Linked DNA regions of Oryctolagus cuniculus. The protein of the gene in region 4 purifies or fractionates together with the protein of the main gene of each other region. This does not show direct contact. Links are inferred from orthologs where the notes say so. Each region holds a gene or a part of one and is shown on either strand. Other genes may lie near its edges.

Region 1 (3,500 bases), on a different chromosome or scaffold from region 4:
GTAAAGCCGCTGCCTTCAATGCCAGCATCTCATGTAGGTGCCAGTTCGAATCCCAGCTGCTCCACTTCCAATCCAGCTCTCTGCTATGGCCTGGGAAGGTAGTAGATGGCCAAAGTCCTTGGGCCCCTGCACCCTCATGGGAGACCAGGAGGAGGCTCCTGGCTCCAGATTGGCACAGCTCCAGCCAGTACAGCCAGCTGGGGAAGACCAATTGGAAGACCTCTCTCTCTGCCTCTCCTTCTCTCTTTCAAATAAATAAATAAATCTTTTTTTAAAAAAAAAGCTTATTAAACTACATATCTAAGTTGGGTATTAAGAGTTAGCTAACCTTCTGCCTCATAATCTATTAGTGTTATTTCTAGGAACGTTGTTTTATAACTGAATGGAGAGTCATTTTACACTACCGGAAGTTGTTTATATTCTACTTTTCTTCAAACCTTTCCACAAGAATTTATACTTTCATGTAAATTTAAAATGAGATCTTAAGTAATTGTTTTTAAGTGGTATTAACATGCTAGGATAAAAGAAATTTTTCCTATTAAATACAGTTAGAAAAGAGTAAGTTCTAGAGTTCTATAGCACAATAGAGTGAAAATAGTTTGTAACAATTTATTATACACACCGATGCATCACTTACACTGGAAATACATTCTGAGAAATCCATCAGTAGGCAAGTCCATCATTCTACAAATATAATAAAGTGTACTTGAACTAGGACAGCTATGATGTCACTAGGCAACATCCTGGAGTTACGTGGTCACTGACAAAGTCTAATATAGCGCAGAGTGGGAGGACTGTGTTCTCAACACAAAATGATGTTTGAAGTGATAGAAATGCTAGTTGCCCTAATTTTATCACTATATACTGGACCTACATATATCAAAATATACTACATCCCATATACTTGACATGTAGCGTCAAGTATCAAAAATGTATATATAAAATAGCCCAATACTTAGTAACAGCCAATTTATAGTATCTCATTTAATATTCAAAATAATATTTGAGTACTACATTGTAACTTCATGCCTATATTACCCAAAGCCCAGAAAAATATTAAGGGATGGCTGAGGGCACACAGGACTGGCCAAGCTAGAAATGGAATTAGGCAGTCTAGTCTAGAGGCTAAGTTCTAACTGAGTGACTTGGAGTGACTGCCTCTTTACTGAAGGTTTTCTTAGACTCTTTAAATCATGGTGTATTATGAGGGTGCCAGAATTATTTTCACAGCCATGTACTGGTGCCTTGGTAAGTAGTCTCCACTCCCCACTCCATTTCATCTTCCTCAACTGAACTTTAACAAGTTTCTCATTAATTTCAAACATGATACTACTCTTTCCAGAAAACTCTCTTCAACCATTCTTTAGCTGCTGCAGAATCATCTGTTGCTCTCCATGTTGTATTTCTTTAAAACTGCTCATAGCACTACTCAGTAACAGAATACACTGTTGGTTCTACACTAGGAAAGACACCCAGATTTCAACAATCCCTGTCTACACATATCTAATAATAGAGTATTTTACAATATGTTTTAATAATCTGTTTACACACGATTTCCTTCACTTGACTGAGCTTCAAAAGGACAGGAATTATCTTTCACAAATTCCTACATGTGGTATGCACTGAACAAAGAGTTGTGTTAAAATTCAACAAATCTAAAGATATCAAACCTCACAATATCAGGCAAATCAAGCAAGTCCAGCCTGAATTTCAAGAATCTACATTATCAAAATCTTACAAATGGTACAATTATATTACTTTAGCTTAGTAATCCCAACTATACCAGTTGTTTTATTTTATCCTTCTAGATTTATGAGCAATTCATAATTAGCACAGTAAATATTCCCCTATAAATTTGCTGTTAAAAAATCTAAATTTTATTCTTTTGGTTTATTTTTTCAAATCTTTATTTTGGTGTTCTCAATTTTTTGAACAGAGTACAAAGATAAACTTCATCCTAATACTGAACACGGAAATAAGTGTCAAATAAATGAAACTGAGTCAGGCAGTCTTAACTTAGGTCTCTGAAGAGGTTTCAGAGGGTCCATAAATGCCCTGAAATTGCTAAAATTATATTGTATAAATTACAAAAATGTTAAAGTTTACACATTATCATTCTTAAAATACTATAGCTATGCCATTTTTCAGGGAAGAAAATGACACATAGCTTTTACCACATCCCAAATATGTAACAACTGGTTTAACATAAAGAGATTTTATTCCACTGCTTAGAAATTCATTTATGCAAAAGAAAATGCTTGTTTACTGATCCAAGGTCATCCTAGATATGTTTTGTTTATAACAGTATTTTCTCCATATATTAAATAAATTTGTAACCTTAAACCTACCGCAACTTCATTAGTATCTCCATGCTCAAAATATTCCTGTATGATTGGTGTCAAAGTTTTCTCAAATGCCCTTTCATCCAAAGGCAAAACTACAGTTTCATAAACACAGTTCTCCTGTGAGGGGCAGGGAGAAGAGTTATAAATTAAAGAACAACATTTCAGGTAAATGGAAACTGTTATATAATTTTACTAGTATATTCTACATGGTTAGTAATCTCCATTTAGGGCAAGATAAAGAAATGGCTGTTTTGATCACTTATATTATTACAAGTGAAATCTATAGGTCACTGTTCTTTTACACGATGTGAATACAGTAAGTCAGTGTACAGACTGAACCATTAGCTACAGCAAGTGCGACTTGCTCCCAGCTCCTTTTTCTTGTGTTAATTTATGCCTCTCAAAAGCAACCTTTCAGTAACCAACAAGTTTTAAGATGGCTTCCTAACACATTAAGTATTTCATTTACACTTCCATTTTTTAAAAAATGAAGCAGAAACCAAAGCCTTCATTATTTGTATTATCATCAAGTGTAACAAAAATCAACGCTATAGTAAGCCTGGGAAATCTTAAGACTGAAAATCACTGTTTAACTGAAATTTCAAAAAATAAGATTAATGTCCATCATTAAAGCATCTCTCTCTCCCATACAAGAAAAAATCTCTTAAGTGTTTGTTTAGAAACATGTTACTGGCTTCAGTCTAACACATATTTCACTTGATCTTAGCCAGAATGCCTAGAAGCGATAACATATGCTTCAAAGACTAATGAATATCTGTATTTCTAATATTCTCTTAGAAAAATTTCTAGGAGGCCAGCACCGTGCTTCACTTGGTTAATCCTCCACTTGCGGCGTCGACATCCCATATGGACGCCGGGTCTAGTCCCGGTTGCTCCTCTTCCAGTCCAGCTCTCTGCTGTGGCCCAGGAGGACAGTGGAGGATGGCCCAAGTGTTTGGGCCCCTGCAACCGCATGGGAGACCAGGAAGAAGCACCTGGCTCCTGGCTTCGGATCGGCGCAGCACCGCTGTAGCAGCCATTTGAGGAGTGAACCAACAGAAGGAAGGCCTGTCTCTCTGTCTCTCCATCTCACTGTCTAACTCTGTCAAATAAATAAAAATTCTATGCCCAACTATTAAAATAGGTAACTACATA
Region 2 (4,150 bases), on a different chromosome or scaffold from region 4:
GCGCTGCCCCCCCGCCCAGCTCTTAACCCAGCCAGTACTGACAAAACGGTCCCGGAAAGACCTCTGCGTGACCACACCGATCACCAGGAAAAGTGCAGCCCAAGCACATGCGAGTCTTTGGAAACGACACCTACACTGCTGAAGTGGCACTAAAGTGACAGATGACAGTAATCCAGCGGCCCCAGGCCAGCAAACTCCACCGCAGACAGATTTGTCTGCTTTGTGCCACGGTGATTCCTGCATGTGCGGCAGTGAATAGAAGCGGGGCAGCCGCGTGCAAATTCAAGAGCAAGCACGTCCTAACCCTTCACTCTCCAGCAGGCCAGCAGGAGCGGCGCCCTCAGCAGCCAGGCTTAACGGGGAAGCAGACCTAGCAAGAGTCACCTACAGGTCTGAAATCTGCATTAAAAATATATAAAAAATAAAAAAGCAAGAGGCCAGTGTCACGGCGCAGGAGGTAAAGCCATCGTGTGTAATGCCAACTTCCAACATGGGCACCGGTTCGAGTCCTGGCTGCTCCTCTTGTGATCCAGCTCCCTGCTAACGGCCTGGGAAAGCAGCAGAAGGTGGCCCGAGTGCTTAGGCCCCTTTACCCGTGAGAGACCCAGAAGAAGCCACTGCGGCCATCTGGGGAGTGTCCAACAGTCGGAAGGTCTCTCTCTCTCTCTCTGTACATCTTCCCTTTGCTCTCTGTAACTCTTCCAAACAAATAAATAAATTTAAAAAAGAAGGCAAAACGAAATAGCCTCACTGTAACTAATTCGAGTGGAGACGACCCCGGTTCCCCCACCCCTTGAGTGTGTTCTGAGCACGGCATGTGCCCACGCCCCCAGGTCTGGGCTGAAAGCCGGCGTCCAGCCTCAGGGCCACGTCCCTTCCCCTGACAGCGCTGGAACACGGGCCCGGCGTCTGCTCTGGAGAGGAACCCAGAGGGCAGGGGGCCACGCTTCTCTCAGGGCCACTTCAGAACACTCTGGGCCCAGCCACACGGAGGACAGGCCCTGGATGGGGGCCGCTGGCACCAGACACGCCACGCCCACTCAGGTGACAGAGAACACACACCTGTGGCATCGCATCTAGTCTCGGGATGCGCCCTCTACATACAGTCAGTACCCCAGCACACTGCAGGAATGTCACCACACCCGGCGGGTCCCCACAGCCCCCAGGGGATGAAGACTGGGGGGGGGGGCGCTCAGCGCTGTGAGGCTCCGGGGCAGGGAGGCGTCAGCCAGGCACTCGCAGGTCCCTCGGGACCACAGACACTCATGGAGCAGACACACTTACTCTTCAACAGGGTTCAACCCTCCCAAGCCAGCGGCACTCAAAATGTTTCCAACTTCACTGCTCCACTTCCGCGCAGGGAATGGGCTCAACCAACACTTCCCAGTATGATGGAAACAGGCTACAATCCACACAAAACTGTAAAACTGTAGCCTTAACAAGTCGGTTGTAAAGGAGGCTAACTGGGGCTGCTACTGCGATAGCTACCTCGTACCGGGTCAGCCTGCCTGGCTCGGGGCTCGGCGATCGCTGCTGAATGAATGACGGGGCCCCAAGCGCCCAGACTCTCGGGACAGCGTGACCGAGACCCGGCCGGTCCAACAGCCAAACCCTGCTCAGGACGCCACTGCTTCCTTCCACCACTCTCTTTTAGACAGGAAAGGAAGAGGGGTCCAACCGCGCTCGGCCCCGAGGCGCAGGTCAGTCTCGCGCTGGCCAGAGGCACAAGTCCCGGGCCACGGACGCAAAGGCCATCGCCAGGAGGCACGCGTGGCCTCCGCGAACGAGCCCGGGCACCGAGTATAGGAAGTGCGGGAGCCTCTGTGCACGCGAAGCCCGCAGAAACGCACGCCAGGCCTCCCGGGGGAAAAGCCCGCGACGCACCGGCTGCCCGGCGACCCGAGTACCGGGAAGTTCCGACGGCACGCCGGAGCGGGCGCCCCAAGAGCGGAGCCCCCCGAGAGGTGCTGTCCGTGCATATTTAAGGAAAGGCCCGCGGCCCGCCCGGGGGAGCCGCCGCCAACAAAGCGGCGCGGCAAGGCGGGAGCTGCCCCGCCGCCCGCCCCGCACCTACTTTGTGCCGCTCTCCCACCTCTCATTCAGAGGCGCGCGGCGGCCGCCCAGGCGCCGGCGCCGGGGCCCGGGGCTCAGCCGGCGCCCAGCCCGGGGTCCACGGCCGGCGCGACCCCCAGCCCGCGCCCCGCGCCCCCAGCACCTCCCCCCCGTGCGCGACAGGGGACCCCCGCCGCCGCGCCCCCCGCCGGCGCCGCCCCGGGCCCCGCGGCACCCGCACGCCCGCGCCGCTGTCCTCAGCGGCCCCGGCCCCCGGCCCACCCGCGCCGGCGGGTCCCGCGGGGTCCACGGCGCTGGGGGCGGCCCGGGGGCGTGGGGCGCGGGGCGCGGGCGGCGGCGGCAGGCCCGGGCGCGCCGACGGCGCCGCCAGAGACCCCGGGGCCGCGCCGCGCCCCGCTCGCCCCGGGAAGCCGCGGGGCCGGGGACTGGGGAGCGGGAACCGGGCGGCGGCGGCGGCCCCGGGGCCTAGGCCCGGGCGGCGGGTCCCGCGCCCTCCCCCACCCCACACGCTCGCTCCCGGCCGCCCGCGCCCGCGCGCGCTCCCCCAGGCTCGGGCCCCTTCCGGCCGGGGGCGCGGGCCGCCGGCTACCTGCGGGCTGCGGAGGGCCATGGCGGCCCGTTTGAATGGGACTCGGCGCGGCCCGGCGGCTCACGCTGCTTCCCCCGCCGCCGCCATCTTCTCGCCCGCACATACACACTCGCATCGGCCGCCGCGCCTGCGCACTGGCGGCGCGCCGCGGGGCGCGGGCGGCCGGGGCGCTGCTGCGCGTGCGCGGCCGGCAGGTGGGCGTGCGCGGGCGCCTCCGGCCGGGCCGGGCGGCCGCGGGAGCCGGGCCGGTGGACTGTGAGCCCCGCCGGCTCGGGCAGGTGCGGGCCTGATGGGGAGAGGGCGTGCAGGTGCAGGGGGAGCTAGTGCCCCCAGCCCCCGGGGCCCTCGCTGCTCCAGGAGAGTCTCCCTTGGCTGATCAGACCCCCGAGGAGGGCGTCTCCAGATTAGCGGAGTCGCCCTCCCGTGCGTTCGTTCACTGCTTCCCTCGCGGTTCTGCCGGGGCCCTGGCTCCGAGCCACGCCTTACGCGGGCATTGCAAACCCAAAGCCAGAAGCACCGAAGCCAGGCACACAGGTGAAGCGCCTGCCGTGAGGCCTGGCCACCATCCTGGGTCCGGGGAGCCCCCCGAGCGCGGGCTGCCACCGTGTGTGCGGCTGTCACGCGCCCACGGGGAGCCCGGGTCGAGCAGCCCCCGGTGATGCATCCTGCAGCCGGCGCAGCCCCAGTGGCCGGGCAGTGTGCGGAGGAAGCGCTACAAAGACGCCGCAGTGAGATACATTGGGTCTCGGTGGAATCCCCAGTGTTGCAAGCTGGTGTTACTGTTTGTTTTCAGGATTGGTTGTCAGAGTTACAGAGAGAGAGAAATCTTCCATCCGCTGGTTCGCTCCCCAGATGACCCAAGCGTCCAGGACTGGGCCAGGCCGGAGCCAGGAGCCAGGAGCTGGATCCGGGTCTCCGACATAGGGGGCCCAAGTACGTGGGCCGTCTTCCGCTGCTTTCCCAGGTGCATTAGCAGGGAGATGGGCTGGAAGTGGAGCAGCCGGGACTTGAACCAGAGTCCCTGTGGGATGCCCGCTGCTGGCCCCTGCGGCTTGTTTTGTGATAGACAGATCAGAAATCGGGTTACATATAGATGATGAGTGAATTACTGCTGACTTTCATCACGTGATGATGATGTTGAGCTTGTGAAGAGAATGCCCCCAGGCCAGCATTGTGGCGAAGCTGGCAAAGCCACCATCTGCAAGACCAGCATCTCATATGGGTGCTGGCTCCTGTCCTGGCAGCTCTACTTCAGATCCAGCTCCCCACTAATGGCCTGGGAAGAGCGGCAGAGGATGGCCCAAGTGCTTGGGCCCCTGCTACCCATGTGGGAGACCTGGAAGAAGCTCCAGGCTCCTGGCTTCAGCCTGGCCCAGCCCTAGCTGTTGTGGTCATCTGGGGAGCGAACCAGATGGGAGATTCTCTCTGTCCCTGCCTCTCTCTCTGTAACTCTGACTTTCAAACAGATAAATAAATCTCAAATAAATA
Region 3 (4,013 bases), on a different chromosome or scaffold from region 4:
CAAAGACCCAAGTTCTCTTATCATTTTCCAGGACATTACAAATGACATTAACATAAATTCTTAAAGGTTAAGTACTAGATTTCAGATAAACTAAAGAACACATTACTTTGCTTTTGAGGACTTTTTTAATTCACATATTCTGTGACTTAAGGACCATGATTATCTGACTTCAAGGAAGCTAATTTTGTTTGCATCTTTTCACAAAAATATTAAGCAATAAACATCAGAATTTAGACATGTGACTCACTACTATGCAACAGGACAACTTTTCAACTCTAGACTGATAACCTCCAGGCAAGCAAACTTGTGCTTGCTAACTTTCCATAATGTCTACTTACTACAAACTTCATTAATGGATTGACCATAGTTATCAAGCCAAAAAAATTAATACTGTAACATGAAATGAGACAGAATTAATGTTTATTGAGTAACTACCAACTGGTAGGCAAATCAGCTTAATGTTTGACGTATCTCGTTTAAAACACAAAACAACCCTCTGAGATAGGCCCTACAAAGACCATTTACAGATTGGAAAACTGTAACTTGCTTATGACAAATCTACAAAATGTCAAGGCAACAATATGAAACTAGGTCTTACTCCGAACCCAGGAATCAAACTACACCCTGGATACCACATCTTGAAACTCAAACAAAATAAGCTAACATTTCAACACAGGGATATTAACAGACAGATTCAGCTTCCACGCTCCAGGATCAATATTAAAGTGCAGGTAAAAGAATTATTATCATTTATATAAAATTCTGCACTGGAAGAGTAAATAGACAAGATTCTCCTTGTGGTTCCTAGCAATATATAAATCTCCAAAACTAGTTCCAAGTGATCAGAATTATATTGACCAGCACTGACTTCATTTAGATACCATGAAACCAGCAACTTCATGGTAATCAACCCAGACTGCTCCATTTAAACTTTATTTTCTGGGACTTCTTTTTTGATTTCTCCAATCTTTTCATTACATTTTTCTTTGCAAATGTTTTGACTGTCATGTCCCGTATGCACACAAAGAAAAAGGACAAATCTGAACTCAAGGCTCAAGACTGAAAATGTATCACACTGTGGAGAGGTAACTAATATCTTGTAAGGAAACTGACAATACAATCCAGTCCTAAGTTTACATAATACATAAATGAAGCATCTAAGTATCTTCAGTCAGTAACAGTACTACCTATTCACTCCAATGTGTGCAAAGCTCATATCATTCCTGAATCTGAGGCTATTGGATACAATTGCACACTTTCCCCTATGAGCCCTGGGTGCAAAGGGAACAATTTAAACAGCAGCACCATTAAGCGCATCGTGATTATCTGGTTTAAAGCTTCAACCCAAGCAGAAAGGTAAAGAGCTAAACATTCCCTAAAATTTCCATTTCATAAAAAGCTCTGTCTGCACAGATACAAGATTTTTAAGAACTTTTTAATAAAAGTTTTAACATTCTGGACTTGTGACTTTTGCTTAAAAAAAAAAAAAAAAGGGCAAGAAAGCCACAGAAGTCAACGTTATCTACAGTCACAAGATGAGCCCAGGAGAGTTCACAAAAACAAACAACGACGGTGAATATGGTTGAGATCCACAAGGCACAGGAAAAATATAAATACTGGGTCTTCCAATCATTAACTCTTAAATGTTTTCTTGGGCGTCATTCACGTTGTAGTAGACGAAAAACTGTCAACTCTCCATTTTCCAGGTCACTGTGTGGACTCCCAAGGTCCACTAACTTCTGGCCATCTCAGTTCTCAGTTCATCCTTTTTAACCACAGGGTGGGGGAAGGGAGAGCTCAAAGTTACTTCACTTTACTGCTCCTATTAATCTCATGTGGGAAGAAAGGATGAAATTAACCCACAACATTTCACCCACCTAACTGCTTGAACAAACTCTCTAAACAGGCCTTCGGAGTCATAAATGAAGTTGCTGGCTCCGGGGAGACCTGAGTTCAGACAGGCAGGCGGGTTTCAAGACTTTCCATATGGGATAAACCATGGCGCTCGAGCCCCAACTTCCCAGTCTCATCCTTGGCGAGAAGCTCCGGACCGCGAAGCTTGCACGTGGGCCGGCCTGGTTGCTGCTGTCACATCTCGTCGCCAGTCGGCAGGTGGGATCCAGGCCCGAGCGCGGACCCCCCAAAGCGGGGCTGGGGTCGGCTCGCCACTGCCTTCGGCCAAAGAGTCGAGAGGCCACACTGCCCGCCTGATCCACATGGTCGCCGAGCGGAAGGAGAGAGGGCACCATCGGGCCCTAGGCTCGTGCCTGGACCCGCGGCTCCCAGGCCCGGGCGGCGCCCCTGGGCCGGGAGTTCGCCCGCCGGCGGGCAATCCCGCCCGCGACAAGGCTGGCCCATTCCCGGGCTGCCCAGCGCCCCAGCCCGCACCCACCTTGACGTCTTCATCCTCGTCCTCGCCTTCCCAGCGGTCCCCACCAGCGGTGCCGCCGCCCCCCACCTTCCGCACCGGGTCTTCCACGGAGAACGTGTCCGCGTCTACGGAAGAGAGCGAGCCGCGTTAGTGCCTGCCTCGGCGTGGGGCCGGCATCGGCCCGGGCCCTGCCCCCGGGGACTTCGCCTCACCCCAGGAGTCCGAGTCGCCCGCCGCTGCCGCCGCCGCCGCCATCTCGAGCCGGGTGTGAGCGTGTGTGAGGGGAGAGCTGGCGCGGAGTTAGCGCGGCGGAGGTGAGTCACTGGCTTTGCTCTCGTTGGCCCGCGCGGGGCAGGCTGGGACCGTGGCTGACTGTGCGCCCGGGCCGAGGCCCCGCCCCTCCTGGCGGCGCGGGCGACGCGCACTGCCGGGGCGGGGACTGAGGCGGGCGGCGCGTCCAGCTCCCCACGACGCGGGACTGTGCTGCGGGCTCGCGGGGCGGTGGAACTGTCTACCCCAGCGTGGGTCCCGGGGAGGAAACGTGAGTGCAGGGAAGTGGGCGGGGCGGTCCCCCGGCTTGGCGTTTGGCCCTCGCTGGCCCTCACCGCCCCTCCCGCTGTTCTCGGAGATCCGCGCCCGCCGCCGCTGGCGGATGGTGTTCTCTCCGTGCGGCGCGCGGACTCGGGCTCTCCGCGCCACGCCCGCCGGTGTACGCGGCGGACCGGCCTCCCCGACCTCTCTCCAGTGCAGTCGAGCTGTAATGAGCAGGGGATCCTCTTGGAAAGCCGGCGTGTGCGGGGCGTCGAGGAACGAGCGAGGTGGACAGACCGCGTCCGTGGCGGCCTTCCCGATCCGGATGGCCAGAGCCACTCCGAACGCGGTTGCGTCCAGTTAGTCACCAGTGGATCGAAGACAGCCCCAGCCCCCTAGGCTTTTCCAAACTTCCTGGGAGCCCCCTGAGGCCAGCACATTGATTCATTCTTTTACAGACCAGTTTTGGGGCTCTGGTGCCTGCCTTGGGTATAAGCTCTAGCCTTGTCCTCCCCAAGTAGCAAAGACGGACAGGTAAACAGATTTCGGCACAGTGTGATGACTGCAACTGAAAGAAGCATTATGAGGTTACTTGTAAATAGGTGACATTAAGGGCAGCGGGCGCTGGAGGGTGCAGGAAAGGCTTCCTGGGGTTAGGCGCGGCGAAACGGCAATCGGAAAGACCCAGAGAAATTTGCTCGAGAGCATTTCCGGTAGAAAGAACGCGCGGTGCCCCTCATCTGGCTGGCGCCATTGGAGGTAAACCGAACAGGTAAACTGAACAGTAAGGGCTTGAGATGGGCTAAACTCTCTGCCCCTGGGGCCACTGGGCTCCCCTGTAGGACTTTAAGGGGTGGGCGGTTTCAGATGTTTTTATTTTGGTTTTATATTTATAACTTGCTACAATATCTGAATTTTAAAGAGGTAGAGGGGTGGGTGTTCAGGCTAGCGTAGGAGTGCCTGCTTGGCACTGATTTCCTGCTTCCTGCTCATGTAGGTACTAGGAGGCAGTGGTCGTGACTCAGATGCCTGGGTGTCTGCCACCCACATAGGAGACCTGGGTTAGTGCTCTTGTGGGCATCTGGGGAATGCTCCAGCAGATGGGAGCTCT
Region 4 (4,021 bases):
AGGTCTGTTCTACTCTCCAAGATACTCCTGTGCATACACCCCCCCCCCCCCAAAGCAACACACATACCACTCTGAATCTGAAAGAAACTCAGTCTCTGGCTAGGAATGAGAAAAAGATGTGCTAAGCCTGTTCCACTCAACCTTAGTCTCCTTCCAGTATCCAGCCCTTTGCAGAGGGGCAAGGAAACAAAAAGTAACATTATGAACTAAGCCCAAGAGAAAGAAAAAGTAATTCCTTAAAGCAATGGTCTCCAAAGTGGGAGCATTCTTTAACCTCATACATGATTTACACTTGATTTCCCAAGTGTCATGTTATATGTTTAACTTATGCACACATATATACAAACACACACATATATACATTTTAAAAGTACACAGTCAATGATCAAAGTTTTGGAAACCACTGCCATAAAGAACAGACTAGTACTTTCCTAGAATACAAACGAAAACTAGCCACAAATCCATGTCACATGCCCCCCACCTCCCCACCACCATAGAAACAGCGTCGCGGGAAAGCCCACCAGGCCCTCAAGCTGGAGCCTGGGCTTGCGTTCCTGACACAGGCAGGACTCCAACTCCCTTGGCAACAGAAATCAAGTCTTTATCCCCCACCAACACCAGTTAAACATTAAGCACCAATCCCTACTAACTATTAACCCTATTATTTTTAACCCCAAAGCCATGCCTGAGAAGGGTCTTAGGCTTTAGAAATCAGTAGATCACTTTTGAAGTTCCCTGGGAAGCACTCTCACCTCTGACTCCCTCTCTTGCTTACCATAGGTCCCAAACTCTGTAGGGCTTGCACCCGTATAGAAGCCTGGGGCTCCTGGCTGCACAGGGTACTGCTGTGTCGGGACAACATATGTGGAACGCCCCTGGTGGGGGAGGGGGGGAGAAGAGGGAAGAGAAGGAGTTGAGGAAGCTACGAGTACCATACCAGACTACAAACAGAATGCAGGGCAAGATAGGACAAGCCAACTCTGGGCAATGACCAGAAGTCCCATCTCTGACGAAGAGACAGGGCAAGAGGGTTGGGGCAGGAAGGGGCGAGGGTTACAGCACAAGGTGCATGGCTCCCAAGCCTCCAGCCTCACCTGTCCAGGGATGTAGTAGGCCCCCTGGGAGGCTGGGTATGAGATCTGGGAAGGGATCATCATTACTTGGGATCCAGCAGGGTAGACATGGGCAGCTGGGCCAGGGCGGGCAGGGGCTGCACTCTGCACTCGGGAGGCTGCACTGCTCGGGGGCTGGGCCCGGCTAGGGTAGAAGTGCTGTCAGGAGGGAGGAAAGAGGTTGGCACTGAGAGAGAGAAAGCGGGCAGCAAACTAGTACCTCCACAATGCCTCTATGGTCTGGAAAGTACTGTGGGGTTCAGAGCATAAAGACCAATCCTTCCAAGACACACTTGACCAACTGATGGTTAAGTGGCCTCTTATACTCACACACAGCCTCCAAACTCAGACGAACATTTGGCGTTTGTGTGTATTGATTCTCACTGCCATGCATACATATGTCACCTCCACCACACTGGCCCTCTGGAGGGGCTCCCTAACACCCAGATGCATCATGCCTAAGGCCCTTTCAGGGACATCCTCCCTCCCCAGCATGCACTGCTCCACTTAAGGTCCTGAGAAACTCATTACTAACATGCAAGTCTCCCAGTTCCCAGATACACTCTTCAGGATTTAGCCCCTAACATGCACTACTCAGCCTCAAACTAAGGACCCAACCAGCACAAAGTCCCCACCCTGAAGACCCCCCACTCCCTGTTTGTAGACCCTAAGGCAGAGGGGAAAGTGAGACCAGGACACGGTCCAGGATTAGGAAAGGGGTATTACCTGCAGAGACCTGAATCCTCCCTGAGAGCACATGGGGACAGGAAAGAAGAGAATTATCCCCAAGGAGATGAGGGGTTAAAAAAAAATCTAAGTAGTGGGACAAGAATCCTCCCACTTAGTAAGGAAGAACTCAGGTAACAGAAGAAGGCAAGAAACCAGCCAGAGTGTTTATCTTGCCATAGTCCAAAAAGAAGGCAAGAAAGGGGACTGGAGCAATGGCAACCTCTCAGCGAAAGAACCAGGAGAGGCAAAGTGGGCAGCAGGGGCTAAAGCACTGCCCCCAGTTTTCAGAGGCATCCGGACCCCAGTTAAGCCCCCCTCGCCGACGACATACTTCCCCAGGGGCCAGCCACCATAAGTAACCAACAGCACACAGTGCAGAGCCACAGGAGAGGACACAGACCGACTGCCAGGAAACTGAGGCCAGCACACAGCCTCCAGTTTCCACCCCAGGTCCACACTGCCCTAAGCCGTCCACAGCTCCCACCCAGGCCCCCTACTCCCCTCCCCACAGCCCCTCACCTGGCGGGGCTGAGAAGGCGTGTTCATTTGTGTTGCTTGTGGCGTACTGAACACCACCGGTGCTGTCTGCCCCGGGGGAAACGCTGGCTGAAGGGGGGAGACCAGAGTTCAGCAAGAGGGGAAGCCCGGGTGGGGCTGAAACCCACGCTGGTGAAACAGGGGGGGAGGGGGGCAGGTCTGCAGCAAGAGCCTCGGCAGTCCACACACCCCCTCCCCATGACAGCCCCTGGGGACATCCAGGGGACCTGTCTCAATTTGGCAGCAGGCAGCTGCACTTTGCCCTGACACAGATGGGGGTGGGAAAATCCAGAGGCTAGAACCTGTTCCTGAGGCGGCCTGGTCTCCCCCACCCCCACCCTAGCTAATTCCTCCCTAATTACCTGTGGGAGTCCAGGGGATGGGGCGGGCGGGGGGCCTGTGGGCTGTGGAGCTTTGTTCATTTCATTTGGTGCCACATCAGGGTCCCCCCAGCACCTGTTGGGAAAGAGTGAAGCTTGGAAAGGGGAACGGACCCAAGCTTAAGGCAAACAGAGTGGGGGAAGGGTTGAAGCTGGGTCCAACACGAAGCGCCGGAGGTGCCAGGGGAGGAAGGAGCAGAAAAAACTCAGGCTGTGTCCCCACCCCACCAACACGGTGTCAGATCCACACTACCTCCATCCACCCACCCTGATCTGCTGAAAAGAGCCCCCTCACTCACCCCTTCGGTTAAGAATAAGTCCACGGTGCGGCCTACAGGTTCTGGGCATCCGAGGGCCTGGGGTTGGGAGGTGAGGGGTATCAACCTGGCTCCGCGGGACCCGAGACCAACCAGACCGGAAATTCCAGGTCAAGCTGGCACCAGGCTCCCGGATCACACACGGAGCTAGCTGCTTCGGCCGTGGTGTCCCCACCCCCCACCCGGGGACACCGGGTTCGGGGCCTGGCCCAGGGGCGCAGAAGATACGCTTGCCGCGGGGGCAACCCGCGCAGGGCCAGAGGCGAGGCCTGCCGCCGCCCCAGGAGTGTAGGCCAGGAAGGGCGGGAGGCGGGCTTTAAAAAGCCAGGCGGGCGGCGGCTGGCGGCCGGCGGCGAGCCGGTTTCAAGCAAGTGAGGGTCGGCCTGGAGGGCGGGCGGGGCCGGGGGCTCCTCCCTGCCCGCCGCCGCCGCCTCCCTCCCCTGCGCCCTCCCTGCGCAGCGCCGGCCAGTGCCAAAGAACAACGTGTCACTTCCCGGCGGCCTGGCCGCGAAGGGGGGGCGGCGGGCCTGGGGCCGCGGTGCTGCTCCCGCGGGCCGCCGGGCCTCCCCGGGTCGGGCCCGAGTGGCATTTCGCGACCGGCGAACCCGGCGCCCTCCCAGCCCGCGGGGCCCACATAGTTCGGCCCCGCGCTCCCCCACCCCCACCCAGCAGCCAGGCCCGGCCAGGCCGGACACACGTGGGCCGGGGATCGAGCCCTGGCGGGTAGGGGCCCGAGCTCGGGCCGCGGGGCCGGGGCGCCGGGGCGGCGGTGCAGGGTGGCCGGTCCCGGCCCGGATGGCGGCGGATGCGGGGGGAGGGGGTGGGGGGGCCGGGTCGGGCCCGGACATGGCGGCTTTACCTTCAGTCTCCTTCAGTCCGCGCGGCCGAGCCCCACGCAGCCGCACAGACGTAGTCCACAACCATTTCCGGCTCCCCGCACAGATCC
Region 5 (3,500 bases), on a different chromosome or scaffold from region 4:
ATGGTCCCCAAGCATAGTACTGTCATAGTTTCCCAAGTACAGGAAGGCTGTGATGTGCCTTAAGGAAAAAATATGTGTATTAGGCAACTTTCTTTGCCATGAGTTCAATGTTAATGAATCAATATTGTTATATATTAAATAAAGTATCTTAAAACACAAAGATGGGCTCTGCTGTGCTGTGGTGAAGGAGATTAAGCTGCCACCTTTGTAAAACCGGCATCCCATATGGGTGCCAGTTCGAGTCCAGCTCCCTACTCATGTAATGTGCCTGGGAAAGCAGCAGAAGACGGCCCAAGTGCTTGGACCCCTGCACCCATGTGGAAGACCTAGAGGAGGCTCCTGGCTCCTGGCTCCTGGCTCCTGGCTCCTGGCTCCTGGCTCTTGGCTCCGGCATGGCCCAGCCCCAGCCCATTTGGGGAGTGAACCTCTGGATGAAAGATATCTCTCCCTTTCTATCTCTGCATCTTTGCCTTTTAAATAAATCTAAGTTGGGGAAAAAAAAAAAAAGGCATAAAACATGGCTCTCAAAAAGCTGTAACCTCTCAGGCTCACAGGAACCTAACCTTACACTTCCTCAGTATTCAAAGCTACTTTACAAAATACAACAACCACCATTTAAAAGGATTTACTGTCAGGCCAGCACAACAGGTTGAAGTCCCAGCCTGTAGTGCCAGCATCCCATGAGCACGGTTCGAGTCCTGGCTGCTCCATTTCCGATCCAGCTCCCTGCTAATGTGGTTAGGAAAGCAGGAGGATGGCCCAAGTCCTGGGTCCCTGAACCCATGTACAGAGGAAGTTCCTGGCTCCTGGCTTTGGAACAGCTCAGCTTCGGCCACTGCAGCCATTTGGGGAGTGAACTAACAGAGGGAAGACCTCTCTTCCTCTCTGTAACTCTTTCAAATAAATCTTAAAAGAAAGAAATCCACTATACTGTTAACTCCACTTACATTAGGCACAGAAAAATTAAGTGGCTTGCCCAGGACCACAGCTCAACTGTGAGACAAGAAGAATGCAGGGCCGGCGCCGCGGCTCACTAGGCTAATCCTCCGCCTTGCGGCGCCAGCACACTGGGTTCTAGTCCCGGTCGGGGCGCCGGATTCTGTCCTGGTTGCCCCTCTTCCAGGCCAGCTCTCTGCTGTGGCCAGGGAGTGCAGTGGAGGATGGCCCAAGTCCTTGGGCCCTGAACCCCATGGGAGACCAGGATAAGTACCTGGCTCCTGCCATCGGATCAGCGCGGTGCGCCAGTTGCAGCGCGCTGGCCACGGCGGCCATTGGAGGGTGAACCAACAGCAAAGGAAGACCTTTCTCTCTCCACTCTGCCTGTCAAAAAAAAAAAAAGAAGAAGAATGCAGCAGATAGCTCTACGAGTAAAAGCAAGCAGGCTGCTCACTTAGATCTGAACGTAGAACACACTGCTCTAGTGACTGCACTGTCCAGCTCTGACCTCCAGCTTCCTGATAATGAGGGGCGTCAGAGGCAGTAGTGATGGCTCAAGCAGTTAGGTTCCTGCCTCCCAGCTTAAGCCTGGCCCACTCCCAAACACTACAGGCATTTAGGGGAGCAAAACGGTGGACAAGAAGCATGGTCTTGGTTTCACTCTCAAAACTAGAAACAAAGCGGGGAGGACTAGAGGGGGCCGGTGTTGTGGCACAGCACATCAAGCTGCCTCTTAGGAAACTGTTCCCAATTCCCACTCAGCTTCCTCTTAATGCATCCTGGTTGTCAGCAGATGATGGCTTAAATGCTTGGGTCCCTGCGACCCAGGAGGACACCCAGATGAAGTTCTAGGCTCCTGGTTATTACAGTCTGGCTCAGCCACGGCTGTTGTAGGCATTTGAGAAATGAACCAGCAGATGGAAGATACCTCTCTGTTGTTCTGCCTTTCAAGTAAAGTAAACATACATTCTAAAAAGAAACTGGGAGTGGGAGAGGTGGCAGACGCATGTTTAAGAGGCAAGAGGAGATTCCAAAGACCCAGACCAAGCATAAACAGGGAGAAGAGAGAAAGAAATGGGCAGATGTGAGGAACATCAAAATGGCAGAACTGAACTAAATTAAAGCTCTAACAAAAGGATGAAACAGAATAAAGGTGACCGCCCAGATTTGTAGCTTATCAAAGTAGCTGGACAGTAGTGCCCCTGAAGGAAGTGGGGTGTGCGGGTGGGGGTGGGGGTGGGGGTGGGGTCAGACATAGAGGAAAGGGCTGAGTCTGAGAGGTCGGACTGCACAGCCCAGCTACAGGCAGAAGTCACGTGCAGGTGCCGGCAGACATCACGCATGCACGCAACTCCTCAAGGGCAGCACACGTGGAAGGAAGAGCAGGCCTGGGACTGAGACAATGAGCTCTTTCCATGCAGTCTCACAACCGGCAGGCGTGTGCGTGTGCACAAATAGTCACAAAGTACTTTCTGGTTCTAACTGTTTTTAAGAACACACCAATAGGTCAGGCCCGGGAAGAGCCTCCAGAGAAGCAAGGAGGCAGAAGACAAACAAGCAAAGCGTCAGCACACAGAAGGGCCGGTGACTTGGTGACTTCAGGTGTTGTGTTTTGTTTGGCAAACCTCTGGTAAACATCATTTCACTGACACTCTAAGAAAGATAAAATACCAGTTCACACAGAACAGGTAACAGCCCTCTTTGTCACTTAAGAAGTTTCACTTTGCACATGGAAACACATCAAGCAGGCTCCAAGCACCCCATCTAGTTTTCTGAATACCAGAACCTTACCTGGCTTAACAAACGGTCTCCAAGGACCAGGTCTGGAGTCCTCGCCCCGCCTGGAAATCCGGTCATCATCAGCTCGTCTTGACATCCGGTCGTCATCCATGTTTCTCCAAGGACCCCTGTCATCGTCAGCCCCCCGTCTGGGAATCCTGTCATCGTCGGCATTCCTCCAAGGTCCTCGATCATCATCTAGCCCTCGCCTGGGACCCCGGTCATCATCAATGCCCCGCCTGGGACCCCGGTCATCATCAGCACTCCGCCAGGAAGGCCGCTCATCATCAGCACCCCCTCGCCTCGGGCCCCGGTCCTCATCCATCATTCGTCTTGGGCCTCTGTCCTCATCGGCTGTCCGCCAGCTTCCTCTGTCGTCATCCAGTCCTCTTCGAGGTGGCCTGTCATCCTCTGCATGGCGCCAGCTTCCCCTGTCTTCCTCACCAATCCGCCTGGGAGGCCGATCATCGTCTGCACTGCGCCAGGAAGGCCGCTCGTCCTCCAGCCCACGGCGAGAGAACCTCTCTTCATCGGGACCACGCCGGGGGCCTCTGTCGTCCTCCATGCCACGCCGGAGAGTCCGGTCATCATCTGGCCTAAGAGAAGATTCTCTGTCTTCATCGTCCCCCACACGCCTCGGCCGCTCTTCATCTCTTCGGTGAGACCGCTCGTCATCCCGCCCTTCTCCACGTCGCCACTCCCTGCAGAGCAGCAAGCCAAGTTGTAAAGGTAAGCGTCTTAAAAGCACAGAATCTCTTGGGGAATGATCTTTTATTCACCAAAAA
Region 6 (3,500 bases), on a different chromosome or scaffold from region 4:
TTGTCAGAATCATGAAAGCGGCTGGTCATCAGCCAAGCACTGTTCTAAGCACTTCACCTATTATTATTCAATCCTCAAAATAGTTCTGTAAGGGTTCTGCTATTACATCCATTTTACAGATGAGGAAATGGAAGGACAGAGAGGTTAAGTAGCTTGCCAGGAGTAACACAGCCAGTAAGTAGAGAAGGTAAGATTTGTATCCAGAGAAGACAGCTCTGCGGAATCTGAAACTCGTTTGGTTTAGGGCAAGCTAGGAATGGCTGTTTGCAAGGCCGGGCCTGGCGTGCAGACGAGACACTCACTTTGACAGCGTACTCTTTGCCACTCTGCAGGCTTACGGCGCCTTGAACTTTGGCATAGGCTCCCTCTCCCAGCAACTCAGAGGTCAGCTTGTACACATCTAGAGGTGAAATGGGTGAGAGGAATAACAAGGTGAGTCATCCCACTGCAAGCTGGGGTGGGAAGAGGCGCCTCCGGCACCCAGCTTCCCCGCTGTGACGGCACAGGCCGAACAGGCGCACAATGACCACGGCACGCTTGCTGACGAGAAAGACGCGTCACCTCCCAGTCATCTCCGGACTCGGTTTCTCAACGAGACCACACGGAAGGCATCCTGTTCCTCTTTTGAGAGTTGAGGTTGCTGGAGGGATTGGGGTTTCCGTTCTGCAGATGCTTCTGAGCACCTACTAAGTGTCAGACAGCACAGGAGGGGCAGAACGAGGAGAGGCTCGAGTCCCTCACCTCCAGCGGTCACAGGCCCGCAGGCTTGACAGCTACACACACGAGTGGTTCAGAATGGCCCCGGCACTGGTAAGAACTATTCCTGAGGGACAAGGCGCAGGGAGAACAGCAGGGACAGGGAAAGGTTGAATCCGCTCGGGCAGTCTGGGCCATCCTCCTGGAGAGGGAACGCTCTGCGGAGCATGTGCTTTGTGGCGAGCTCCTTGCTAAGCACTGCTGAGACAACGGGGAGTAGAACACCGTTTTACACCACAGAAAGTGGACGTCACTGGAGGTTTCTGAGAAGTTTCCAGAAGTCAGCCACAGGAAATAAGAGACGGAAGTAGCCTGCAAACGATGCTTCGAGGTTTTAGGGCACTGAGTCAGAGTGGCTGTGACAGAGTAACAGGCCTGGGTTGAGAACAACTGGGTGGCCTGCCCAAGCTTACAGACAGCATGGGTTCTCTAAGCGCTCTCGAAAGGAGGCCACATCTCCACCACAGCCCTCGCTGACCTGACCTCCCTGTTCTCAGCACCTTCCTCTCATTTAAGCCCGCGGACTGAGCTGAATACTTCTATAACTGCACAAGCAATCCTCAGATAACAGTAAACACTCTCATTTTCACTGAGAGAGCAAAAGACCTGCTGATCTGGAAACTGTTCTAAAACCTCTGGGGCATTTGTAACCCATCTTCCCCTGCCACACATGCACATGTACACATAGATGTCCACTGTCTAAGTTAAGGGAAGACAAACTCCAAACCCCTCCAGTAAGTACCTTCTTGGCTCCATCGCAGTTTGGTCTTGCAGCTGCTCATGAGAATGGTGGCACACTGCTGGCGTTTTAAATGCCATCTTTCTCCCTATGGTCACCTTGCCATCAGGCCTTTACACGCACCAGCACAGGTCGGTGCTGGGGCGCCATATTCCCAACTCATAAGCACATGTTATTAGAACCACTCTACAAGACAGCCAGCTTACTGGTGTGTCTGCAAGGCTGGGAAGAGGGACCATGAGGGCCTCACAATGAGAGAAACAAGAGTTGAAGGGGACAAGTTACTCCTAGCACTAGCTTCTGATCTGGTCTGTCCCCTATAGAAGTGGCTATGGTCCACCTACCCTAGCTCCGATCACCCAATGACCACAGCATCAGCACTGAGTCATATGCCCCACGTGGGGATGGTGTCTAGAAGTGTCCGATGACCCAACACGGCACTTCCGGAACACCCGTGCACTCTTTAACACGGGATCAAGCATGTGCAGCACGAGCAGCTGCAATCTCTAGGAGCAAATTCTTTGCTTACACATGATGGAAGTTTCATTTGCAGCCCCGGCCCCTGGTGTTTCTTGCGTCCTCTAATATGGCCGTCCTACTTCTCAGCAGCCCCTCCAGGAACAGCCAGGGAAGAATCAGCTGAAGAGGAGCACGTGCACCCTGGGCAGTCTCACTCCACACACGCCCTCTGAGGTGGTGTTGGCCCATGGATGGGGGCCAGTGCATCATTCGAGAGCCTTCCCCAACCTTGCTCTCTCTGTCCCACCTTTGTGTCAATCTGCTCAGCCCATCCTTCCCCCGAATCACACAGCTAACCCCTGCTGGCTCCAGGATGGCACAGCCTGGTATCCAGACCCACGGGCAACAGAATGCTTCCCCGTGCTTGGGGAGCTACATCCCAGGGCTAGGAGAGTTGTGATACCGACCTTCAAACCTCCCCGGCAAGGAGTCGGCAGCCCGGGCTCTCCGCTTCTTCTTCTTCCTTTTCTCGCTGTCTGCGACTGAAAGGGGCTCACTGCTGCCCATCTCTGGGAGAGAAGAGGACAGGTCAGGGGAACACCACTGTACTGATCAGGCTCCAAGTTCACCCAGGAGAGAAAGAGGGAGGGGGACCAGGAGCTTTACACGGATGGTTTTTAAATATCTGTGAGGACTATTGATTTGTTTTGACCCAGAAGGCAAAACTAAAGGCAAAACCATTATAGGAGATCATTAACTGTGGAAAGGAACTCAGACAGGCAGGCTAGATTAAAGGAGGATAGCAGAAGCCTGCTTTAACCAAGCTCATTAGCGCATGGATTTAGATCTGCCACCAGTCAAACTGTATTTCCCCAACCGAATAATGACTCTGCAAGCACAGCTCCACCTGTGACGCCCTCTAGTCTCAGCACCCGAAAGGCAGGACCCAGGGAGCTGGGCGAGAAGTGGGTGGGAGCAGGGGCGTGTGCAGACAAACCACAAGCTCAGTGACCCCCCTTGGGGGAGCGCTCACAAGAGGGCTGGCAGCAGGTTGAGAATGACCTTAAAATCCTCCACGTCCCGCAGCACAGACCGAGTGCCAGTGGAGCCCACAGCATCCTCTCCCCTCCCTGGCCCTTCCAGAAGCCTGTGGTCGAGAGGTCCCCGACAGGCTGCTGGGTAAGGTCACTGTGGCAAAGACATTATTCTCTCTCACTGGCATGCACCTGGCCCCCCGTCTTCAAGGGAGGATCCGTGAGGCAGACTTCCAGACACTGGGCAGGAGAGTCAGGCAGGGGCTCAGACAGGAGGACCAGTGAGCCAGGGCCCAATCACAGGACTGTTCCTAAGACACTCCATTCGGGCCGTCCCCTGTGAAAGATAAATTACTTATAGAACATGTCATGCCCCTGATCCAGAGTGGAGCCTTAATACTCTTTGCCTGCAGTTAGAAATAATAAGATTTCTCTGAAGTCTCTGGTCTAAATCCCCACCAGGGTGATTAAACCTTTACATCCTTCTAAAATAGAGGCACTCGAGTGCTGAT
Region 7 (4,134 bases), on a different chromosome or scaffold from region 4:
TTGGTGGACGGCCTGCGGGGAGAGGGAGGGAGGGAGGGGGGCTGACGCGGCTGGCGCCTGGGACCTCAGGGTGTCCCTGGGCTCCCTGTGGGACCTCCGCGCGCGGGGACGGGCCCTGCTGCAGGCCAATAAAGCGCTGTCGCTGCACACAGGCTCGGTGGCTGGGGCAGGGCGGGGCGGGGGGGGGCGGGGCGGGGCAGGGCGGGGTCTTACTTGGCCCACTCCACGTTGAGGATGAGGTGGTCGTAGCCGAAGCCTGACACCCCGGCGATGGCGCGCGCGGCGTCCTCCCGGCGGTGGAAGCTGATGAAGGCGAAGCCCTGGCGAGGCAGAGCCCAGGTCAGGGTCCTGCCCACCGCCCGGGCACCGCCCTCAGCCCCAGGATGCACGGCCAGGCCCGGGCCCCGCCCACCTTGGACTGGCCAGTGGTCTTGTCCTTGGCCAAGTAGATGCGGGAGATGGAGCCGAAGGGCCGGAAGAGCTCCTGCAGGTCCGTCTCGCGCGTGTCCTCCGACAGGTTGGTGACGCGGATGGTGGCGTTGTCGTCGGCTGTGTGGGCGGGGCAGCTGGCTGAGCGGGGGAGGCCCCGCCCAGCGCCCGCCCCCCCCACGCCCAGGGCGCCCAGCTCACCTCGGCGGTTGGGCTGCATGGACTCCCCGCGGCGGCTGGCGCCGTCGCGCAGGCTCGGGGGCACGTACTTCCCCGTCTTGTTCTGGGCGGCCTGCACGGGCTCCAGCTCTGCAGGACGAGGGCGCCGGCGTCAGGCCCGGCGGGCGGCCCCCAGGGCACGTCCCGGACGCTGGCACCATCTGCACGCGCTGCCAGCAACACGGGCACCGCCAGAACCCACGGGGGCGCGCAGGCCCGCAGCACACGGGCAGGGCACGGCCAGGGCACGGCCAGGGCCCCCGGGCCTACCTCCCGGCAGCTTCTCCTTCTCGCCCGTGGACAGCCCCAGCTGCTCGGCCAGCTCCTTCTGCATGGGCCCCAGCGTGTCCTTGTAGGGGCAGCGGGTGGTCCAGTGGTCGCCCTTGCAGATGCGGCAGGACACGATCTTCTGGCCCTTGAGCTTGTTCATCGGGTCCTCCTCCTCCTGGCAGTTCAGGTCCTGGGGGGGGCGGGGGTCAGCGGGGAGGCGGGGGCTCACGGCCTGCACCGCCCCCGACTGCGGCCCCACCCCGCCCCCACCCGCGGCCCCGCCCACCTCTTTGCTGGTGATGAACGTCATGGAGACATCGTCGCTGACCGTGGTGGTGGCCACGTTGGGCCCCGGCGGGTCAAATTCCGAGTTCCCAAACTTCTTCCAGTTCTGGGCTCCGGGGAGGGGGTCAGGTCAGGGCAGGAGCGGGCGACGGCCCACAGCCTTGGGCACCCACATACCACGGCAGCCACCCCGCAACAGGGGCAGCTGCGGCTCCATGCCAGGCCCAGGCTGGGGGGGGCAGGCGGGGGTCCCTCCCCGGTGAAGCCAGCACCACCAAAGCTCCCGGCCTCCCTGGGTCTCTCCGGGCGCCAGGGGCTTGGCACGGGGCCTGCCGCCAGCCAGGGGCACAGCGGGGGAACCCCCTCCAACCCCAGCCGCTCCTGCACCCCGAGTTTCTCAGGGCCCCAAGAGACATGCAGACACCCCGGCCTCCGGAAGCTCAACTCCCCCTGGAACAGGGGTCCCCAGCTCCCGGGTCAGCCCTGCGGGGGCGGGGGCCTCACCTTCCTCCTCGCGACAGCCTTGGAGGCCTTCCGGGTCTCAATCCTGAAGGTGCGCACGATCTGCAGGTGCGAGGGCAGTGGGTGGGCCCCCTGCACCCCAAGCCCCCGCCCAGGGCCCCGGCACGCCCCTCCCCCAGCCCACCTTGAACTGCCTGCACCCCAAGCCCCCGCCCCGGCCCACCTTGAACTTCTTGCCGTCCTCATCGATCTTGTACTCGGTCACCGTCTTGATGTTCCCGTTGATGACCTCCTTGGGGGGCGGCAGTGGGGCTGAGGAGGGGGACGGGGAGGGGAACTGAGCCCTGGGAGCGGCGGGCCGGGCGGGGGGTGGGGGTGGGGTGGCCAGGGCCGCGGCGGAGGCTGTCACTTACCCCCGGGCAGCAGCTCAGGCTCCGGGCTGGTGTCGCCGGTGGCCAGGGGGATGCCCTTGAGCAGCTCGCTGGTGACACATTTGTCTGCAGGAGGGGGCGGGCGGGGGTGAGCCCCAGGGGCGGGGGCAGCCTGAGCAGTGGCCAGGGCACGGGGGTCCTTGGCGTGAGGGTGGGGCACGGGCCGGGAGACCCCGCGGGCGCCACGCCTGGCCCCGGCCCCGAGCAGGACGGGAGGGGTCAGTGGGCTGGCCCCGAGGAGGGTGGCGCGGGGCGGGGGCCGCGCGCGGAGGTGCCGGGGGGCCCTGAGCAGTGGCCAAGGCAGGGGCCAGGCCCCGGCCCCGAGCGGGGCGGCACTGCCCCGGGCCGGGGGCCGCGTGGGAACTCACCGTCCTCGCCCTCCTCCTCCACCTGGTCGGCCCAGCTGGGCTTCGAGCTGCGGGGACAAGCGTGCGGGGACAGAGCTGGGGCGGCGAGGCCGGACGACGGCAGCCCCGCGCGACCCAGGCCCCCTAAGAGTCCCCCAGGACCCCCCCACACTGTCTCCCGAGACTCCCGCCGCCACCCCGGACTCACTCAAAGTCTCCCGTCGGCATTGCAAAGTCTTCTCCACGCAGCCCGAGCCCGGGCCAGAGAGCGGAAGTGGGGGAGGAAAGAGACTTCCGGTTCAGCCGCCGCCGCCGCCTAGAGCGACCCGGCCGAGGATGCTCGCAGCGCCCCCGTGCGGACGGGCGTGGAGGCGCCGCCGTGTGCGCTGGTACCCAAAGCGGGTAGAGGCGGCTAGGCGCCTCCCAGGGTTGACCGGAAATGCAACATGGACGCCGGTTCGAGTCCCGGCTACTCCATTTCCGATCCCGCTCCCTGCTAATGCACCTGGGAAAGCAGCGGATGGCGGTTAAAGGGCTCAGGCCTCTGCACCCACGCGGGAGACCCGGAAGAAGCCCCTGGATCCTGGTGTTGGGCTGGCCCAGGACTCTGCTTGTTGTAAACATCTGGGGAGTGAACCAGCAGATGGAAGATCTAATTGCCTAATAAATACCTTTCTTAAAGACTTGACAGGAGAGTTTCAAACAACCCAATTTTAAACAAATTTTTATTTCAGAGGCAAAGACACCAGTGGGATGTCCTATCTACTGCTCACCCCCTAAAAATGCCCAAAGCAGCCACAGCTGGGCCAGGCCGAAGCCAGGAGCCGAGCACTCCATCCGGGTCTCCCACAGGGGTGGCGGGAACCCCATTCCTTGAGCCGTCATCACCTCCTGCCTCCCAGGGTGCTGCAGGAGCTCCGATATGGGGCCCCGGGGACAGCCGCTAGGCTCAGGACCCGCTCCTGGAGTTGCCACGTCTGCTAACGTCCAGTTATGGACGAGCTGTGGAGGCACAGACAACGTAAGCTCTCTGTGTGGACACAGCAAGTACTAGGCTGACTGCTGGACACCACGGCCCAGGGCAGACACAGCACCGTCCGGGGTGGTGGAGCCCGGGCAGGAGGGAGCCGGGAGGCACGCCACGGGGCTCCACTTCCGATGCGGCTCTCTGCTGTGGCCTGGGAAAGCAGTGGAGGATGGGCCAAGTCCTTGGGCCCCTGCTCCTGCACGGGAGACCCGGATGGAGCTCCTGGCTCCGGATTGGCTCAGCTCCAGCCGTTACAGCCATTTAGGGAGTGAACCAGTGAATGGAAGACCTTTGTCTCTCCCTCCAGATAAGTCAAATAAAATCTTTAAAAATAAAACCGCTGGGGCGGGCAGCCGTTCAGACACAGCTTGGGCCGCGCCGGCTCCCCTGCCGAAGTGGCGGAGGCTCTGCCCCAGCTCCGCTTCGAATCCCAGCTTCCCGCTAACCCAGCGGCGCCGGAGCCTCCCGTCCAAGGAGAGCAGGGCCGAGTGCGCAAGGACGCTCAGGGCCCTGCGGCTGGAAGGGCAGGAAATCAAGGGTTTTGTAAACTTGGCGTTCCCCTGGGTGAGGCTGTGGTGCAAGCGCCACCAAGTGGCCGTCTAGGGAAGTGCAGGTAGCGTTGGTCCACACAGTGACCCCCGCCCCCCAGGCTGCTGTGAGTCAG

The links.
Region 1: the proteins of EIF4G1 (region 4) and PDCD4 purify together in Homo sapiens (affinity purification with western blotting; 3 studies listed by BioGRID and IntAct, with this or other methods). This does not show direct contact. The link is inferred for Oryctolagus cuniculus from reciprocal best matches to the Homo sapiens genes EIF4G1 and PDCD4.
Region 2: the proteins of EIF4G1 (region 4) and USP10 purify together in Homo sapiens (affinity purification with mass spectrometry; 4 studies listed by BioGRID, with this or other methods). This does not show direct contact. The link is inferred for Oryctolagus cuniculus from reciprocal best matches to the Homo sapiens genes EIF4G1 and USP10.
Region 3: the proteins of EIF4G1 (region 4) and EIF3J purify together in Homo sapiens (affinity purification with western blotting; 3 studies listed by BioGRID and IntAct, with this or other methods). This does not show direct contact. The link is inferred for Oryctolagus cuniculus from reciprocal best matches to the Homo sapiens genes EIF4G1 and EIF3J.
Region 5: the proteins of EIF4G1 (region 4) and EIF3A purify together in Homo sapiens (affinity purification with western blotting; 4 studies listed by BioGRID, with this or other methods). This does not show direct contact. The link is inferred for Oryctolagus cuniculus from reciprocal best matches to the Homo sapiens genes EIF4G1 and EIF3A.
Region 6: the proteins of EIF4G1 (region 4) and MKNK1 purify together in Homo sapiens (affinity purification with western blotting; 3 studies listed by BioGRID and IntAct, with this or other methods). This does not show direct contact. The link is inferred for Oryctolagus cuniculus from reciprocal best matches to the Homo sapiens genes EIF4G1 and MKNK1.
Region 7: the proteins of EIF4G1 (region 4) and EIF3G purify together in Homo sapiens (affinity purification with mass spectrometry; 3 studies listed by BioGRID, with this or other methods). This does not show direct contact. The link is inferred for Oryctolagus cuniculus from reciprocal best matches to the Homo sapiens genes EIF4G1 and EIF3G.

What each region holds. Positions count from the first base shown.
Region 1 is NC_091446.1:19,364,552-19,368,051, forward strand, and holds part of PDCD4 (programmed cell death protein 4), read right to left. Parts: intron 2,463-3,500; coding exon 2,349-2,462; intron 1-2,348. UniProt on the Homo sapiens protein: Inhibits translation initiation and cap-dependent translation. May excert its function by hindering the interaction between EIF4A1 and EIF4G. Inhibits the helicase activity of EIF4A. Modulates the activation of JUN kinase.
Region 2 is NC_091449.1:66,213,479-66,217,628, reverse strand, and holds the start of USP10 (ubiquitin carboxyl-terminal hydrolase 10), read right to left. Parts: upstream 2,801-4,150; 5' UTR 2,684-2,800; coding exon 2,663-2,683; intron 1-2,662. UniProt on the Homo sapiens protein: Hydrolase that can remove conjugated ubiquitin from target proteins such as p53/TP53, RPS2/us5, RPS3/us3, RPS10/eS10, BECN1, SNX3 and CFTR.
Region 3 is NC_091443.1:67,472,157-67,476,169, reverse strand, and holds the start of EIF3J (eukaryotic translation initiation factor 3 subunit J), read right to left. Parts: upstream 2,801-4,013; 5' UTR 2,627-2,800; coding exon 2,584-2,626; intron 2,497-2,583; coding exon 2,393-2,496; intron 1-2,392. UniProt on the Homo sapiens protein: Component of the eukaryotic translation initiation factor 3 (eIF-3) complex, which is required for several steps in the initiation of protein synthesis.
Region 4 is NC_091435.1:93,890,456-93,894,476, reverse strand, and holds the start of EIF4G1 (eukaryotic translation initiation factor 4 gamma 1), read right to left. Parts: upstream 2,801-4,021; coding exon 2,741-2,800; intron 2,508-2,740; exon of another isoform or gene 2,448-2,507; coding exon 2,361-2,447; intron 1,860-2,360; coding exon 1,839-1,859; intron 1,272-1,838; coding exon 1,095-1,271; intron 876-1,094; coding exon 776-875; intron 1-775.
Region 5 is NC_091446.1:11,586,359-11,589,858, reverse strand, and holds part of EIF3A (eukaryotic translation initiation factor 3 subunit A), read right to left. Parts: intron 3,417-3,500; coding exon 2,728-3,416; intron 1-2,727. UniProt on the Homo sapiens protein: RNA-binding component of the eukaryotic translation initiation factor 3 (eIF-3) complex, which is required for several steps in the initiation of protein synthesis.
Region 6 is NC_091438.1:126,227,834-126,231,333, reverse strand, and holds part of MKNK1 (MAP kinase-interacting serine/threonine-protein kinase 1), read right to left. Parts: intron 2,524-3,500; 5' UTR 2,522-2,523; coding exon 2,422-2,521; intron 401-2,421; coding exon 303-400; intron 1-302. UniProt on the Homo sapiens protein: May play a role in the response to environmental stress and cytokines. Appears to regulate translation by phosphorylating EIF4E, thus increasing the affinity of this protein for the 7-methylguanosine-containing mRNA cap.
Region 7 is NC_091447.1:67,187,206-67,191,339, reverse strand, and holds the start of EIF3G (eukaryotic translation initiation factor 3 subunit G), read right to left. Parts: upstream 2,801-4,134; 5' UTR 2,672-2,800; coding exon 2,652-2,671; intron 2,512-2,651; coding exon 2,465-2,511; intron 2,163-2,464; coding exon 2,079-2,162; intron 1,978-2,078; coding exon 1,889-1,977; intron 1,768-1,888; coding exon 1,708-1,767; intron 1,310-1,707; coding exon 1,205-1,309; intron 1,109-1,204; coding exon 919-1,108; intron 739-918; coding exon 631-738; intron 550-630; coding exon 413-549; intron 321-412; coding exon 214-320; intron 147-213; exon of another isoform or gene 13-146; coding exon 1-12. UniProt on the Homo sapiens protein: RNA-binding component of the eukaryotic translation initiation factor 3 (eIF-3) complex, which is required for several steps in the initiation of protein synthesis.